2 linked regions of the Yarrowia lipolytica genome follow. The protein of the gene in region 2 purifies or fractionates together with the protein of the main gene of each other region. This does not show direct contact. Links are inferred from orthologs where the notes say so. Each region holds a gene or a part of one and is shown on either strand. Other genes may lie near its edges.

Region 1 (6,549 bases), on a different chromosome or scaffold from region 2:
TTGAATAAATAGGTAATAAATAGCGTATAAATAAGGGTAGCAAAGACTTGGGTCGTGACGTTCTCGATGCTACTATTTTTTCTCGTTTTGTCGTTGCTGCTGCCAAGTATATCGTACTATGCCCGGTTTGTTTCCCCCCTCTTCTTCCGATGAAACACAAAAACACAGAGTCGCTTGGTTATCGCCTTGGTGGTGCTGAAAGGTTGTATGCTAAGAGTAGACAAGTTTGCACCTGCTGGGAGAAAAAATCCCATCTCAATTCTAAAACTTTTTACCGGTAGGGTAAATCTGCAGGTGCAAACAAATCCTGTGGGGGGTGGGGCCCTCTGGGGAGTCGCCGAGCAGGAGGAAACCGCATGGACATCTCCTGTGCGCCTTCAACTCTGTCTTGCCGCCGGAGACCCCGTCTCTTGCGACCCCTTTTTCGCCTCTACTGACGTTCTATTCTACCCGTCATCGCCCGTCCTTTGTAGTGCTCACACCTCTTTGCCCAAGGTATTTTAGCTTTGGGACAAGCGTCTGCGACACGTCATTCCAGCTAACCCAATCCGATTGGCTACTTAACGGCCCTCCAGAAGAGCCCACGACCTTTTGTTACATTTGCCATGCGAGGTTCACGCTGCTGAGCACGTCGCATTGTGGGCGGATCCGAGTCGCCCTTGGACAAGAGCTGCCCGGCGCCCCCGCAGCCGTTGGAAAAAACAAGAACAATCGGGCGGCTGCAAACGGCTGTACACGTAAAAAAAACTAGTTAAAAAACTTGTTATCATGTTTCACCCGAGATGAGTGGCTGACCAAAGACAGTTCTGCGGGGGTACAAGTCATGTGATGGAGACAGCTCCCGTGTTTGACAAGGTGAGGAGGTGAGGAGGTGTAGGGGTAAAAGGACACAAGTAAAGCAATGTAGTGTCATATTGTGTGTGTTTGACCAGTTGAAGAGCACGATACTCGCAGTTGCGTGATACACCTCATTATGGACCTCCAGATCACCTTATGGTTCTTTTTTTAAACGCTCATCGCATATTTCACTTGATAATCGTAAAAGGCTGGGCCGAGTATGTACTGATCCATGAAGTCTTGAGAGCGTGCCACCTAACAAGTACTGACACAGTAATTCACGACAAGTACTCGTATAGTACATCCCGTACAGTAATTCTCGTACCACCACTCGTACAGTACATCACGTACAAGTATGTACTCATACTCGCACTGCAGAATTAGCTTGGACAGTCTCACACAGTAATTAGGACCCTGTGACATGATCTTTTAGTAATTCAGTACAAGCATGGCATGGGAACATGTACAGAAATGCCTGCATACTATTACTGTACTATAGATACCATGATTATATGCATCTTTGCGACTTGGGCTGCCTGCAACAGAATCCCCCAAATATGCAGAAACAACTACCTATTCACGTTGTCAGGCGGCGACGATGAAGGATGCGATAAGATGCGATAAGATGCGATAAGATGCGATAAGCATGCATGTGACCTATCGGGGTTCCGAGACATGTCACATTGCAACCAGTCGGGTTTGATTTGTTAGATTGCTTTGTGCTACAGTAGTCCACTTGACGCCCCGGTTTGGCTACCATTCAGCGTGACATCCGGCGTTAGTGTGAATAGTGGCTGGGTTGATTTATCGGGGTTACACGCTCAGTTGATAAAAGAAAAAACAATGGGTTATATTAACGAGCTCAGCTATTCAGCTCTACCACTTTTACCCTTCTAGCACCCTCAGCAGTATGGCAGTATGATGTACGGTGTATGGTAGTGATTGTACGTACACGCCTTCTGCAAAACGTCAGTCCAGGAACGTTTTTACAAGTACAGTATGTACTGTTCTCGCACGACCTTTCCTCCAACCGTAGATTCACAGCAATGAAGGCCATTAGATCAACGTCAGCTCTTCACTTACTAATGTACGAGCGTGTAGATCCGCTAGGTAAGTACAGCAGTACAGTATGTACGTACTCATAGATACAAGTACAAGCATATGCCACTGAGTACTCCGGCCTGTCTATGAACGATATGGTTATTAGCACGCAACAACAGTCTTTGTCCAGTGATCACCAGTAACCGTGCAGACAGAGGGTTATCTCACATGGCCTACATGTTATCTCACATGAACTACGTTATCGTTTCTTTGTCATATCGTTAAGAATAATACAATGCTCTATATGTTAAGTCCTGTTTTTTGGGGGGGGTGTGTAAGTGGGAGATGCTTAGAAAGTAGTCTTCTTACCCTTGAACTCGCCAAGGGGAGCGGTGTTAGCGCCGGTGTTGAAGCCGCCTCGGCCACCTCGGCCGCCAAAGCCTCCTCGACCGCCTCGACCGCCGAATCCGCCTCGTCCACCTCGGTCACCACCGAAGCCACCTCGGCCACCTCGGTTACCGCCGAAGCCACCTCGTCCGCCTCGTCCTCCGCCGTTGAAGCCACCAGCGGGCTTGGGAGAGGTGTAGTCGAGTCGGAAAGATCGTCCGAGGTACTCGTAGCCGGACAGACCCTCAAGGGCTGCCTTGGCCTCGTCAACGGAGCCAAACTGGACGTAGCCGAAACCCTTGGGCTGCTCGGTCTCAGGGTGGGTGGGGAGTCGGATGGAAACAACAGATCCGTACTCGCCAAAGATGCCAAAGAGATCGTCTCGGTTAGTGTCGAAGGACAGGTTGCCGACGAACAGAGTGTCAGCGGGCTCGGAGAGCTGGTCGCCGTACTGAGAAGATCGGTCTCGCTGCTTCTGCTCGGGGGTCTGTCGAACGTTGGTAGAGATATCGAGTCGAACGGTTCGGCCGTCAATCTCCTTGTCCTGGAACTCCTCGACACACTTCTGGGCGTCAGCACCAGAGGCAAAGTCGACGTATCCGAAACCCTTGGATCGACCAGTGGCCTTCTCGGTGATGACTCGAGCGGAAACGGCGCCAGCATCAGCAAACTCCTTGGTGAGCCAGTCGTCGTCAACGTTCCAAGACAGACCGCCAACGAAGACGGTCTTGAACTCGGGCTCAGCGGCAGCCTCGGGCTCAGCGGCAGGCTCGGCCTTGGTCTCGGCCTTGACCTCAGTCTTCTCCTCGGTCTTCTCGTCGTCAGAGTCAGAGTCGGAGTCAGAACCAGAGTCGGAGTCAGAGTCAGAAGAATCGGAGTCGGAGTCAGAAGAGTCGGAAGAATCCTCCTTCTTGGCCTTCTTGACAACCTTCTCCTCGACCTTCTTGTCCTCCTTCTTCTCGTCGTCGGAAGAGTCAGAGTCGGAGTCAGAGTCAGAGTCAGAGTCGGAAGAAGAGTCAGAGTCAGAGTCGGAAGAGGAAGAGGCATCGCTCATCTCCTCATCCTCGTCGTCGGAGGAGTCGGAGGACTCGGAAGAGGACTCGTCCTTCTTCTTCTTGGAAAGCTCAGCAATGGACTTCTCGATGGCCTCGGCCTTCTTGGAAGAAACCTTGGACTTCTTGTCAGTCTTGGAGGGCTTGGAAACGCCCTTGGAAGCAGATTTAGAACCCATTATAGAAATTTTTTGTGTAATGGAGTAGTGTGATGAGGAGGAGAAAGTGCCCTTACTGCCCTTCTTATTAGATTTTTCGCCCTGCAAAATTTCTAGACAAACTTTCCTAAATTTTTTCAATCGGACAAAGAAATCTCATGCACTATATGCACCTCCCTGGAGCCTAATTGGATAGGTCATGTGACTTGGCCAGCCACGAATGGGAGGTGGATGGGCGTCTATGGGTGCGGAAACAGCTCCAGTAGGGACCCACGGGGAGTTCTATGTCGTTCAAATCTCGTTCCAGGCTTCCCAGCTGCCTGCTCGGCGCCAATTCATCTTTTATCGCATCTCTCTTTGATGCTGTGAGGCTCTGTATTCTTTTGTGTTTTTTTTTTATCGATGAAGAAAATTTCCACCTTAAAAACTTGAGGCGGAAAGAAGCTTGTGGATCAATCCGTTTGGGGGCGCCCAAACGAAACGAAAAGAGGTACGGGGCACGTGAGACAAACAGGCGAAACGCCGGGACTCGCTAAATCGACTCCACACGGAATTCGAACAATTTCCCCCGCCTCTGTGTCGCTGTAGAGCCACTTTACATCCTTCTCTCGCATGGTAGCTAATCGCACAGCGTCTGCATGTACCGTATAGGTCGTCTCCGGTTAGAGATGACCCGGCCTAACCACCGTCATGTACGCTGACGATAATGGTGCATGTCCAACGGCGAGAGGGACGGAGTAACAAAGTAAGAAATTTGCCGCGGCGGCTCTCCAAACACAAGAGGTGTCTGCAACTGTGGTACATTACAGACAAAAAGAGACATGATGGCAACCGTGTCTCCGACTTATGCTAGAAGCTCATGGTCTCCCCTGGCTGGCCACAAGTGCTGTCAACTTCTTACCACTCAATTGGATCGACGCAACATTGCTACACTAGCTTTCAGTTAGGTTTCAATGGAGGGTGGATGCTGAGCTACTGCGGCGAATAGTCGTGTGACGGTCTATTCTTTTTTAGCTTGGCCCAAGACAAGATGGCTTAGGTAAGCTGGAACAGTGATGAGATGGAGGTAGGAGCGTGTGCCGTGGAAAGACTCTGGTGGCTGCGAGTCTTCAGGATGGAACATGTTACATGGACACTTTCAGAGAACATTGATGCTGATCGAGACCCTCATCATTACAGGTATTGTACTGCTTCTGATGCTTGCACTGTAATGCCAGCCCTTAGCTAAAGCATCGAGTCTCTTGAAGGTTAAGGCAAACACACTGAAAGGACATCAGTGAACGTGCTCCTTACCATCGAACATGCTCCTTACCATCGAACATGCTCCTGACCATCGAACATGCTCCTGACCATCGAACATGCTCCTTACCATCGAACATGAACCATCCCCAGATTGGAGGTCCTCTTCATCTACATTACCTGTTCGCTCGTGACCTTTGGCCACTCACTACCAAGAAGAAGTATTTTATCCTATCTACACATGTTCCTTTCCAAAGGTCTCATTTCCTCCATGAGTGTCCCTAACAGAGTGTCAACGCCATCGTACCTTAGAGCTGCTTCACGTTGGAACCGTCGTAGGCCAACTCCTGGACCTCCCATCGGCAGTCGATGCCCTCCTTGTTGAATCGCGACACAATCTCCTTGGCGATTGTCTCGAAGTTGTCGGTGGCCAGAGCCAGAATGGTGGGCCCAGCGCCAGACAGACAGATGCCCAGCAGACCCTCGTGAGTCTTGGGGGTAACGGAGGCCAGAATCTCAGGCAGACCGGGGATCAGGGTCTTTCGGTAGGGCTGGTGGACCTTGTCCTGCATGGCCTGATAGATGAGGTCGGCCTGGGGAGGCGATCGGGTGAGGGCGGTGGTGAGAACGGCCAGTCGCTGCAGGTTGAAGATCATATCTGAAGCAGTGTAGGCAGTGGGGAGCACTCCTCGGGCCGAGGCGGTGGAGACCTCAAAGTTGGGAATCACCACAATGGCCTTGATTTCTCGGCACCAGTCGTACTTGATGTGGTGTCCGATGTTGAGAGGAGGCTCGGGGGGTACAAGGCCGGTATCTCGGCCTCCGGCAGGCTCGGGGAGAACCTCAGCAAGGGGGATCTCCACTCGCTCGAGATCAGCAGCAGACAGCTCCCGCAGGTAAGAACCCACAAAGCCGCCCATCATGGCTGCGGTGATGTTGTCGGGATGTCGCTCGATCATGAGACAATAGTCGAGCATTCGCTGCTTGGAGAAGCCCAGCTTTCCGACCTCGTTTCCGAGCATGACACCAGCCACCACAGCCGCTCCAGACGAGCCCAGACCTCGACCCAGAGGAATGGGGTTGTTGACGTGCACAAAGGTGCCCGAGGGGAAAGATCTAATGCCGTTGCATCGCAGAACGTAGAGAGCCACTCGGGTGACAAGGTTGTGGTCACTGTCGAGAGGAACGCCGTCAGCTCCCTCGCCCTCGTAGGTGATAATGCAGTTGTTGGGGTCCTTTCGGTCCGAGGTTTTGGACGAGTCGATTTCGACGTTGATCACGAGGAACTTGGCCAGAGCGAGGCCGAGCACGTCGAAACCGGGACCAATGTTGGCCGAGGACGCGGGCACAGAAATTTCAAACTTTCGAGACATTTGTGGTGGAGTGTGTTAAGTCTCTCTGCGACTGATTTCGGAGTATTCAGTCATTTGGAAAAACTAAACCTTGTTTAGAGACGTGTTCCATGGAGGGTCTGGGTCAACTGGAGGGGCTCAAATGCAACGGAAGCAGTGAAAGAGCCACAAGCACACAAGTACACAAGTCACGTGATAAAACAACAGGATGGAGTCTCGAGAATCCGCCCCAACCCCTCTCTTCTGCTACATCAACTGCTTATCTGTGCCATCCCCCCCCACAGAGCCTAATCAGTTCATGTCTGATGTGAAATCCAGGTTGTGGCTCAAAATGAAAAAAACTTGTGGCGGTGTAGCTGAAACGGTACAACGGATTTGTGGCTTGTGTGGAGTTACCAGGTTGTTGGAGTGTGACTGAACCGCAAGTTTGTCGAAATGCAGCTTGCAAACCTCGACTTTCCAGCACCGGCATCGGCCCCCCGC
Region 2 (7,758 bases):
GGAACGTACCGGGGAATGTCGGGATTAATCGGAGAGTTACGTGGCTCCCCCAAAAGCAAAGACCCAAAGAGAAAAGGTTCAAATGCGGGCTTAAGGAATTGAACGGAGGAGCGGGTATACTGTAGTGTTAAGAGGCGATGAGATGAGGGGATGCATCGAGAGACAGAGAGGAGGTGGCACTGTAGCCGCAAATATGGGGTAAATCGGTTATTGATAGTTAGTCTACAGGAACGGCTGGAAGACAATGATTCGTCTTTCACATATTGTACAAGTATTGTTGTTATCTATGGCTCTATCCTCGTTGCAAGTATGTACAGTACTGAAGAGTGTACGGTGCGACCAGTACACCGTGCGTAGAAGTAAGTTGTCGATACACCACTACATACTGTACTGTACTCCCTCTGTTAGAGTCACTTCATAGCTATATAATGATAGAAATGTGAAACATACACGGCTGAAAGAAGAAGAAGAGGAAGCCCTGGGCTGCGTCAATATTGGTGTAATAGCCGTGACCCCTCAAGGATGGACTCGAACACTGTGTTTCTCTTCTCTCTAGTGTCGGCTCGGCTAATGTCTAAACTAATTATCTGACTAAATGACAATAGCTTACTCCAATAGCTCAACTAAAACCGTCTAGATGGTCCAAAACTATTATCTCAAGTTCTGGACCGAAGAAATGGTGAAAAAGGTAGCAGTGACCCTTTCACATTGGACACTCTAAACTGACAATCTTTCACTACAGTACTTTTTTTGGAGTCGTTCTTTGTACTCGTTACTAAGCATGCATCTTGAATCGAAAACGTGCATGGTGATGCAGGATTGCCATGATGTGAGACTCCAATACGACCAAACAACTAAACAACACAACCACTAACATCGACCAGATAACAGCAAAGCAAGTCTTTCGAGCGACTGACAGATTAAGAGTGCCACAGACACTCGATACTTACCTCTGATCTTCTACTAACCTCTATCTGAGGTCACCACAACACCTACAATAGCCTGAAAGGACCCTAAGTCATAACATCATCTCTACACATGGTCCTAGTACCCCCACTCAATTTCGCCTTTGTGGCGGACGGAATATACCGGTCTGGTCATCCCCTGCCCATCAACTACCCGTTCCTCAACCAGCTGGATCTCAAATCGATCATCTACTTTGGCGACAGAGACATTGGCGACAACCAGGACTACATTGAGTGGGCCAAGAGCGAGGGAATCACACTCCACTACTTCCATGTGAACTCGGCCAAGGAGCCTTTTGTGGAAAACGACCCCGAGGCCATCAGACAGGCTCTTCAGATTCTGCTGGACAGACGCAACTTCCCCATTCTGGTGCACTCCAACAAGGGCAAGCACAGAATAGGCGTGCTGGTGGGCGTCATGCGAAAGATTCTGCAGGGCTGGTGTCTGGCGGGCATCTTTGACGAGTATTCAAGATTCGCGGCGGGCAAGGGAGACTTGGATGTCGAGTTTATCGAGACATTCGAGACGAAACTGCAGTTTGACTTGAATTATGCCCCAGAGTGGTTGGCTATACAATAACGGTAATACTGGCGAAAGGTCAGGAGTGGACAAAAGCTGGACCTGAATTGCGGAAAAGACTGACCGTAGGTAGGGTGGACAACAGCGTAGGTCGTTCTTCTCGAGAATGAGACAATGGAGCTACTAATGGTGGTGCAACAGCTGATTCAGGTCGTACTCGTAAGGGTGACTTGGTGAGGGTAACTTGCGAGGAAATACAAGAAGACGAGACAAGGCCAGGACTCGACGTCGACTTGATTGCGCTATCACTACTCTACCATACTTATAGCATCTGTAGCTTCAGTGATGAAAGAGTAAGTCAGCGGGTATCATTGGGCAATATCTGCTCAGGTGCTTTCAGGTCGCGGTTCGAGATCTCAAAGAAAATAACATCATATAATACTGAACCAAACATGATAGAAAAGTACATACTGTACTCGTAGACTACAAGTACTGCTTGTCGGTAAAGCGGTAGTGGTTGGGGGAGTGAGTAATCGTAGCTAGCTGTGTACTTTGACAGCTTGTTGATACATTCATGGTAAAGGAAACCCTCATCAACTGCAATCTCTGTCGTAATGAGACTATGATATCACCAAGGTGGTTCTTTACATTCTCTCGGTCATCCGCTGGAGGTTGTTTGAGATTAGTTAGAGCTGGTTCACATTAGGTGGACATTGAACAGTGCTTTCCTTAATACAAGTAGACGCTCACAATGGATAAAGAGGACTCTGTCTTTGACAACCAACAACCATCATTCCACTGTGCCATCGGCTTGATGTCGAAATGTCACCGAATCCAAGTCTGAATGAGGACAAAATTTGTTAGTTTTTTACTTGACACATTACTTAGGACATTGCTACAGGACCAATAATGGGCCCCCATTTGCAACCACAGATAACACATCCTGGCACTGGTGTATGACGGGAAGACTATACACCACACCACACCAATATGCACTGTGGCTACACTTTGTTGAGCGCATATCGAAAATATGGACGTGGATAACAGGACTGAAAATCTCTCATGTGGCGGGATTTTGATGCGGAAAAAACATAGCCACGTGTAAAAACAAGAATTACAATGATGCAGACACCCCAAAGTCGAATATATTCAACCAATCACTCTCCACAAGCATTTTGCTATGTCTCCCTCCACTGCTGGAAACCTTATTTGAACATAGTCAAAATCGAGTACGTGGCACAACCATAACGTACAGGCGACTGTTTTGAGGGGTAAAACGCAACCGAGGAGGTGGCACACATCCCAGAATGCGTATGGATATGGGAGATGGAAAATAGATTGTTCTGACTAATCAACCAAAGACAGCTTACATAATACTTCTGCTGTGGTGAAACGGCGGCAACGGGAATCTTCCCTTCACAACATCACTCCTCCCAGGCAGGGCTATTGTCGTGTTGGGCATTTAGCTACAGTAATGCCAAAAAAGTTTGAAGTCATGCAGTGACAGAACAACTGAAGAATGTTCGCAATGAGATGATGAGAAGGGCTGGGAACGATTTCAATTGATTGATGGGGACAATGGTAGGTTTGTTTGCTCCTAATCTATGTCTAATCACGTGATCTGGTCTTATCTGATGAAACAACACAATATATGCCATGCACTGGCAATGTCTATCTGTCAGGCTTCCAGACTTGCGTTGTAAAAGTTACTCTTACTTGCTGTGAGCTGACGGTGTCGGATGAGAAAATACACAGCGGTGTAGACAAAATTTTACCGGGGAAAACAAAAAATGGCAAATGCTCCGTTTCTTGTGATTTCCAGCCTCTCGCTAAACCCATTCTGGACACTGGGGAAGCACTAAGAACAGCTTCCGACAGTGTATCATGCTACACTAGCAGCCCAACTTTAAAAGCTGGCGGTATAGAGAGGTCCGATACATTGCAGTGCGCGTCGCGAAACTTTTGCTTCTCTCTTTTCTCTTTTTTTTTTTCTTCCTCTCTCAGCTTCAGACGGCCGCGAAACGCAGAAATCAACGTGTTTTTGATCAGACGGGTCCCGATTCTTTGTCCGCTTCGCCCTCTGATTCGATCTGTCAATCGACCTATTAATCGATTTGTTCACCGACCTGTTTCACGACTACTCACAACCATGCCTGCCAGGATCATCACTTCGGATGACGAGGACGACCTCATGCCTCCCTCTCGACCCTCCACTGTCAAGCGAGTGAAGGACGAAGACGACGACGACGCGCCTGTAGTGAAGAAGGTCAAGAAGGAGTCCTCTACTCCTAAGGCTTCTCCTAAGGTGAAGAAGGCTACCACCACCACTAAGGTTAAAAAAGAGAGCACAACCAATGCCAAAAAGGCCCCTGTCAAGAAGACCACCACAACTACCATCAAGAAGGACCCTGTGAAACAGCAAACGGTCAAGAAAACCACCATCAAGAAGGAGACGGTCGGAGCCGACGGCAAGATCAAGAAGGAGGAGACCGAAGAGGCCGAAGATGTGTACAAATGGTGGGAGAATGACAACCAGGACGATTCCATCAAGTGGGAGACTCTAGAGCACAAGGGAGTCATGTTTCCTCCTGAATACGAACCATTGCCCAAAAATGTGCTCATGAAGTACGACGGAACTCCTGTGGTGCTCCCCCATGCTGCTGAGGAGGTTGCAGGCTTCTTTGGAGCCATGCTGGAAACCGACCACGCCAAGAACCCGACTTTCCAGAAGAACTTCTTCAACGACTTCAAGGCGGTTCTCAAGGAGAGCGGGGGCGCTAAGGACAAGGATGGTAACAATGTGCAAATCAAAGCCTTTTCCAAGTGCGACTTTTCCGACATGTACGCTCACTTTGAAAAGATGCGGGAGGAGAAGAAAGCCATGAGCGCCGCGGAGAAGAAGGCAATCAAGGCCGAGCGAGACAAGATCGAGGAGCCCTTCAAAGTGTGTCTGCTCAACGGCCGAAAGGAACAGGTTGGCAACTTCCGAATCGAGCCTCCGGGTCTATTCCGTGGCCGAGGAGCCCACCCCAAGACTGGTAAGCTCAAGCGTCGAGTCATGCCCGAGCAAATCACCATCAACATTGGCAAGGGCGTTCCTGTGCCCGAGCCTCCTGCTGGACACAAGTGGGGGGAGGTGCGACACGACAATTCGGTTGCATGGCTTGCCATGTGGCACGAGAACATCAACAACTCCATCAAGTATGTCTTGTTTGCTGCAAATTCGTCTCTCAAGGGAATGTCCGACTACAAGAAGTTTGAGAAAGCCCGAGAGCTCAAGAAACACGTCGCTACCATCCGAAAGGACTACGAGAAGGAGCTCAAATCAGAGGCCATGTTTGAACGTCAGAGAGCCACAGCCATGTACCTGATTGATGTGTTGGCTCTGCGAGCTGGAGGAGAGAAGGGAGACGATGAGGCCGACACTGTGGGTTGTTGTTCTCTTCGATACGAACACATTACTCTCTCTCCGCCAAACATCGTGGAGTTTGATTTCCTCGGTAAGGACTCCATTCGGTACCACCAGGAGGTCGAAGTGTCTCCTCAAGTGTTCAAGAACCTGCGCATCTTCAAGAAGGCCCCCAAGAAGGTTGGAGATGATATCTTTGACCGTCTGGACCCTTCTGTGCTTAATAAGCATCTGCAGAACTACATGCCTGGTCTCACCGCCAAGGTTTTCCGAACCTACAACGCTTCCAAGACCATGGATGACCAGCTGGCTCTCATTCCCAACGAGGGAACTGTCGCTGAGAAGCTCGTCAAGTTCAATGCTGCCAACCGAGCCGTTGCCATTCTGTGTAACCATCAAAAGACCGTGTCCAAGACGCACGGCGAGTCGGTTGGCAAGATTGAAGACCGAATCAACGAGGTGGTGTGGCAAAAGTGGCGTCACAAGCGAATGTTGCTAGATCTCGAACCAAAGCTGCTCAAGAAGGAGCCCAAGCTGTTTGAGGATCTCGACGAGCTGTCCAAGGAGGAGAAGACTGCTTGTGCCAATCGACTTCTTGAGAAGGACTCGGAGCGATGGACAAAGAAGTTTGAGCGGGACAACGAGAAGCTGGTGGCCGAGAAACAAAAGCCCAAGCCCAAGTCCGAGCTCAACGCCAAGCTCAAGGACCTCGCCGACACTAACAAGCAGTATCTCAAGGAGATCAAATCCAACAAGGTCGAGGGTAAGGGAACTGTGGAGAAGCTACGTGCCCAGGTAGAGAAGCTGGAGACCCGGGTAACCACGATGCGAATGCAGCTCAAGGACAAGGAAGACAACTCGTCTGTGGCGCTGGGCACCTCGAAAATGAACTATATTGATCCTAGATTGACAGTCAAGTTCAGCAAAAAGTACGACGTGCCCATTGAGAAGCTCTTCACCAAGACCCTACGGGACAAGTTCCAGTGGGCCATTCAGAGTGCGGACGAGGACTGGGAGTTCTAGCTGTATGTATGTTATAGATAAGTTATTGTAGATTACGAAAGAACGGGAATAACCTACCGTAGATGGGGAACGGACAACAAGTCCCGGTACAGTACAGTACTCGTACCGGTACAAGGATGTCGTACGATTGATTCAATGGGAAATAATGCAGCAGCGACCGGAGCAAATTGGCGTAATGGAGACGATTGGCCGTAGGTGAGGCATAAACAAGAACCACCATCTGGCTGTATATTGAGTATAAAGGTAATATTCGATTGAATTTTGCCCTCCTCAGTCCTGTCATTCACACGATGTTATCTGATGGAGGTCTTACGGTTCACACCCACAGTACCAGTCATGACCCAGAGTTGTATCTATATATGTATCTCTATCGGTGTCTCAGGTTCCATCCCTGGTCACCAAAAGTCATTACTTCCACTCAAGATCTTACCAAAAAGTCAGAATGCGCCATTGATGAGCAACTTTTGAGTCGCGAGAACCAAAAAAAAAAATAAGCTACAAAACAAGGTGTATACATACATGTAGATGGCGCAGTACACTTGAGACAATGCACGAGGAGGTTATATACGGCACAACTTCGGTACATTCGGTACGATACGAGTATGTACTTGTACTACAAGTGAGTAGTAGACTTCTTTGGGTCGATGTTTTCAAGATTTCGGACGGTGAATTTTGTCTGGTGACAGGTTGATGACACACAAGTGTCCTCCAATCACCAATCATCCCTGGTGTGTGTATCAACTGCATTGGCACCATGTCCATCAGCCAGGGACTTGCAAGTAGGACATTGTCATGTGGATTGATGCTTTGAATCACATCTTAGTTTGATTAGTATTTGAAAAAAAATTGCGAGGATCACTGAAGCCAGTGTGTACGTACCGGGATTGGTATAGTAGTGTGTACGGAGGATGCGGTCAGCTTCACCACGGTGCCAACTGGAGTATATTATTGACCATTGTGCGCTGTTGCTGCTTCGACCACCAAGGTCAACCCGGAACAGATATTGCAGAACCCCCCAATTGTATACTCTTACATAACTCGCTAAAAATGTTCATTTTCAGTTCCGTGGTTCCGATGTTGCATCCGATACACAAGGTTGAGATGACGATCTAATCCTATTGATGGAAAAGATTGATTTATCTGATTAGCTGAAAAACCCAAAAGAATCTCTGGAGAAGGATAAAATCAGGGGACAGGCACGGTGCCTTGTCTTGGCATGCGCCTAGCCTCGGAGGCCCTGCCAAGACGGGAATGGGTGACGCCCAGAGCTTGGATACTTGTGTCAGTTTATAAAGTCGTACAGGGGCCGACGGAAGGGCAGATCGATTACTGAGCGTCAAAACCAACATGAAGTTCACCCTTCTTCTCGCCGTTGCTTTTCTGGTCACCCTGGTAACTGCTTACAGAGATCATCCTGGTGATCATGTCCTTCTCGTCACCAGTACTGTTCAGGGAGCTACTGGCAAGTTCAATTTTGATTTCAAGCCTGTTAAAGGCTTTGGAGCAGCTTACTACCAATCGAGATGGGATAACAAGCCGTTCATTCAGACTCGAGCCATCTGGTACCGTGCCGTTCTTCCCGATGATGAGCAATGGAAGCGGGCTTTGGACAAGGACATTATCCAGATCTACAACAAGCGGGGAATGCTCAACCTCACCATGGATGACATGATGGAGGTCTACGAGAACGGAACCAAGTATGCCGTATCCAACCAGAACACCTCTGCAGTTCTTCATGCTCCTGTCGCTTTCAATCAGACTGCTTATGATGAATACTTTCCTACTGTGCATGAATTCCTGAAACAACTGGATCTGGGAACCTACTACGGAGCTGGTCTTCT

The links.
Region 1: the proteins of YALI1_D34487g (region 2) and YALI1_F17988g purify together in Saccharomyces cerevisiae (affinity purification with western blotting; 3 studies listed by BioGRID). This does not show direct contact. The link is inferred for Yarrowia lipolytica from reciprocal best matches to the Saccharomyces cerevisiae genes TOP1 and NSR1.

What each region holds. Positions count from the first base shown.
Region 1 is NC_090775.1:1,795,766-1,802,314, reverse strand, and holds YALI1_F17988g (uncharacterized protein), read right to left. Parts: upstream 3,497-6,549; coding exon 2,228-3,496; downstream 1-2,227. Other genes in the region: YALI1_F17962g (uncharacterized protein), read right to left, coding at 5,023-6,087; YALI1_F17953g (uncharacterized protein), read right to left, coding at 6,326-6,549. UniProt on the Saccharomyces cerevisiae protein: Involved in pre-rRNA processing. Specifically binds nuclear localization sequences. Candidate for a receptor at the nucleus that may be involved in both RNA and protein transport. Binds telomeric sequences of the type (TG[1-3])n in vitro.
Region 2 is NC_090773.1:3,444,057-3,451,814, reverse strand, and holds YALI1_D34487g (uncharacterized protein), read left to right. Parts: upstream 1-3,136; coding exon 3,137-5,917; downstream 5,918-7,758. Other genes in the region: YALI1_D34508g (uncharacterized protein), read left to right, coding at 1,039-1,545; YALI1_D34446g (uncharacterized protein), read left to right, coding at 7,265-7,758.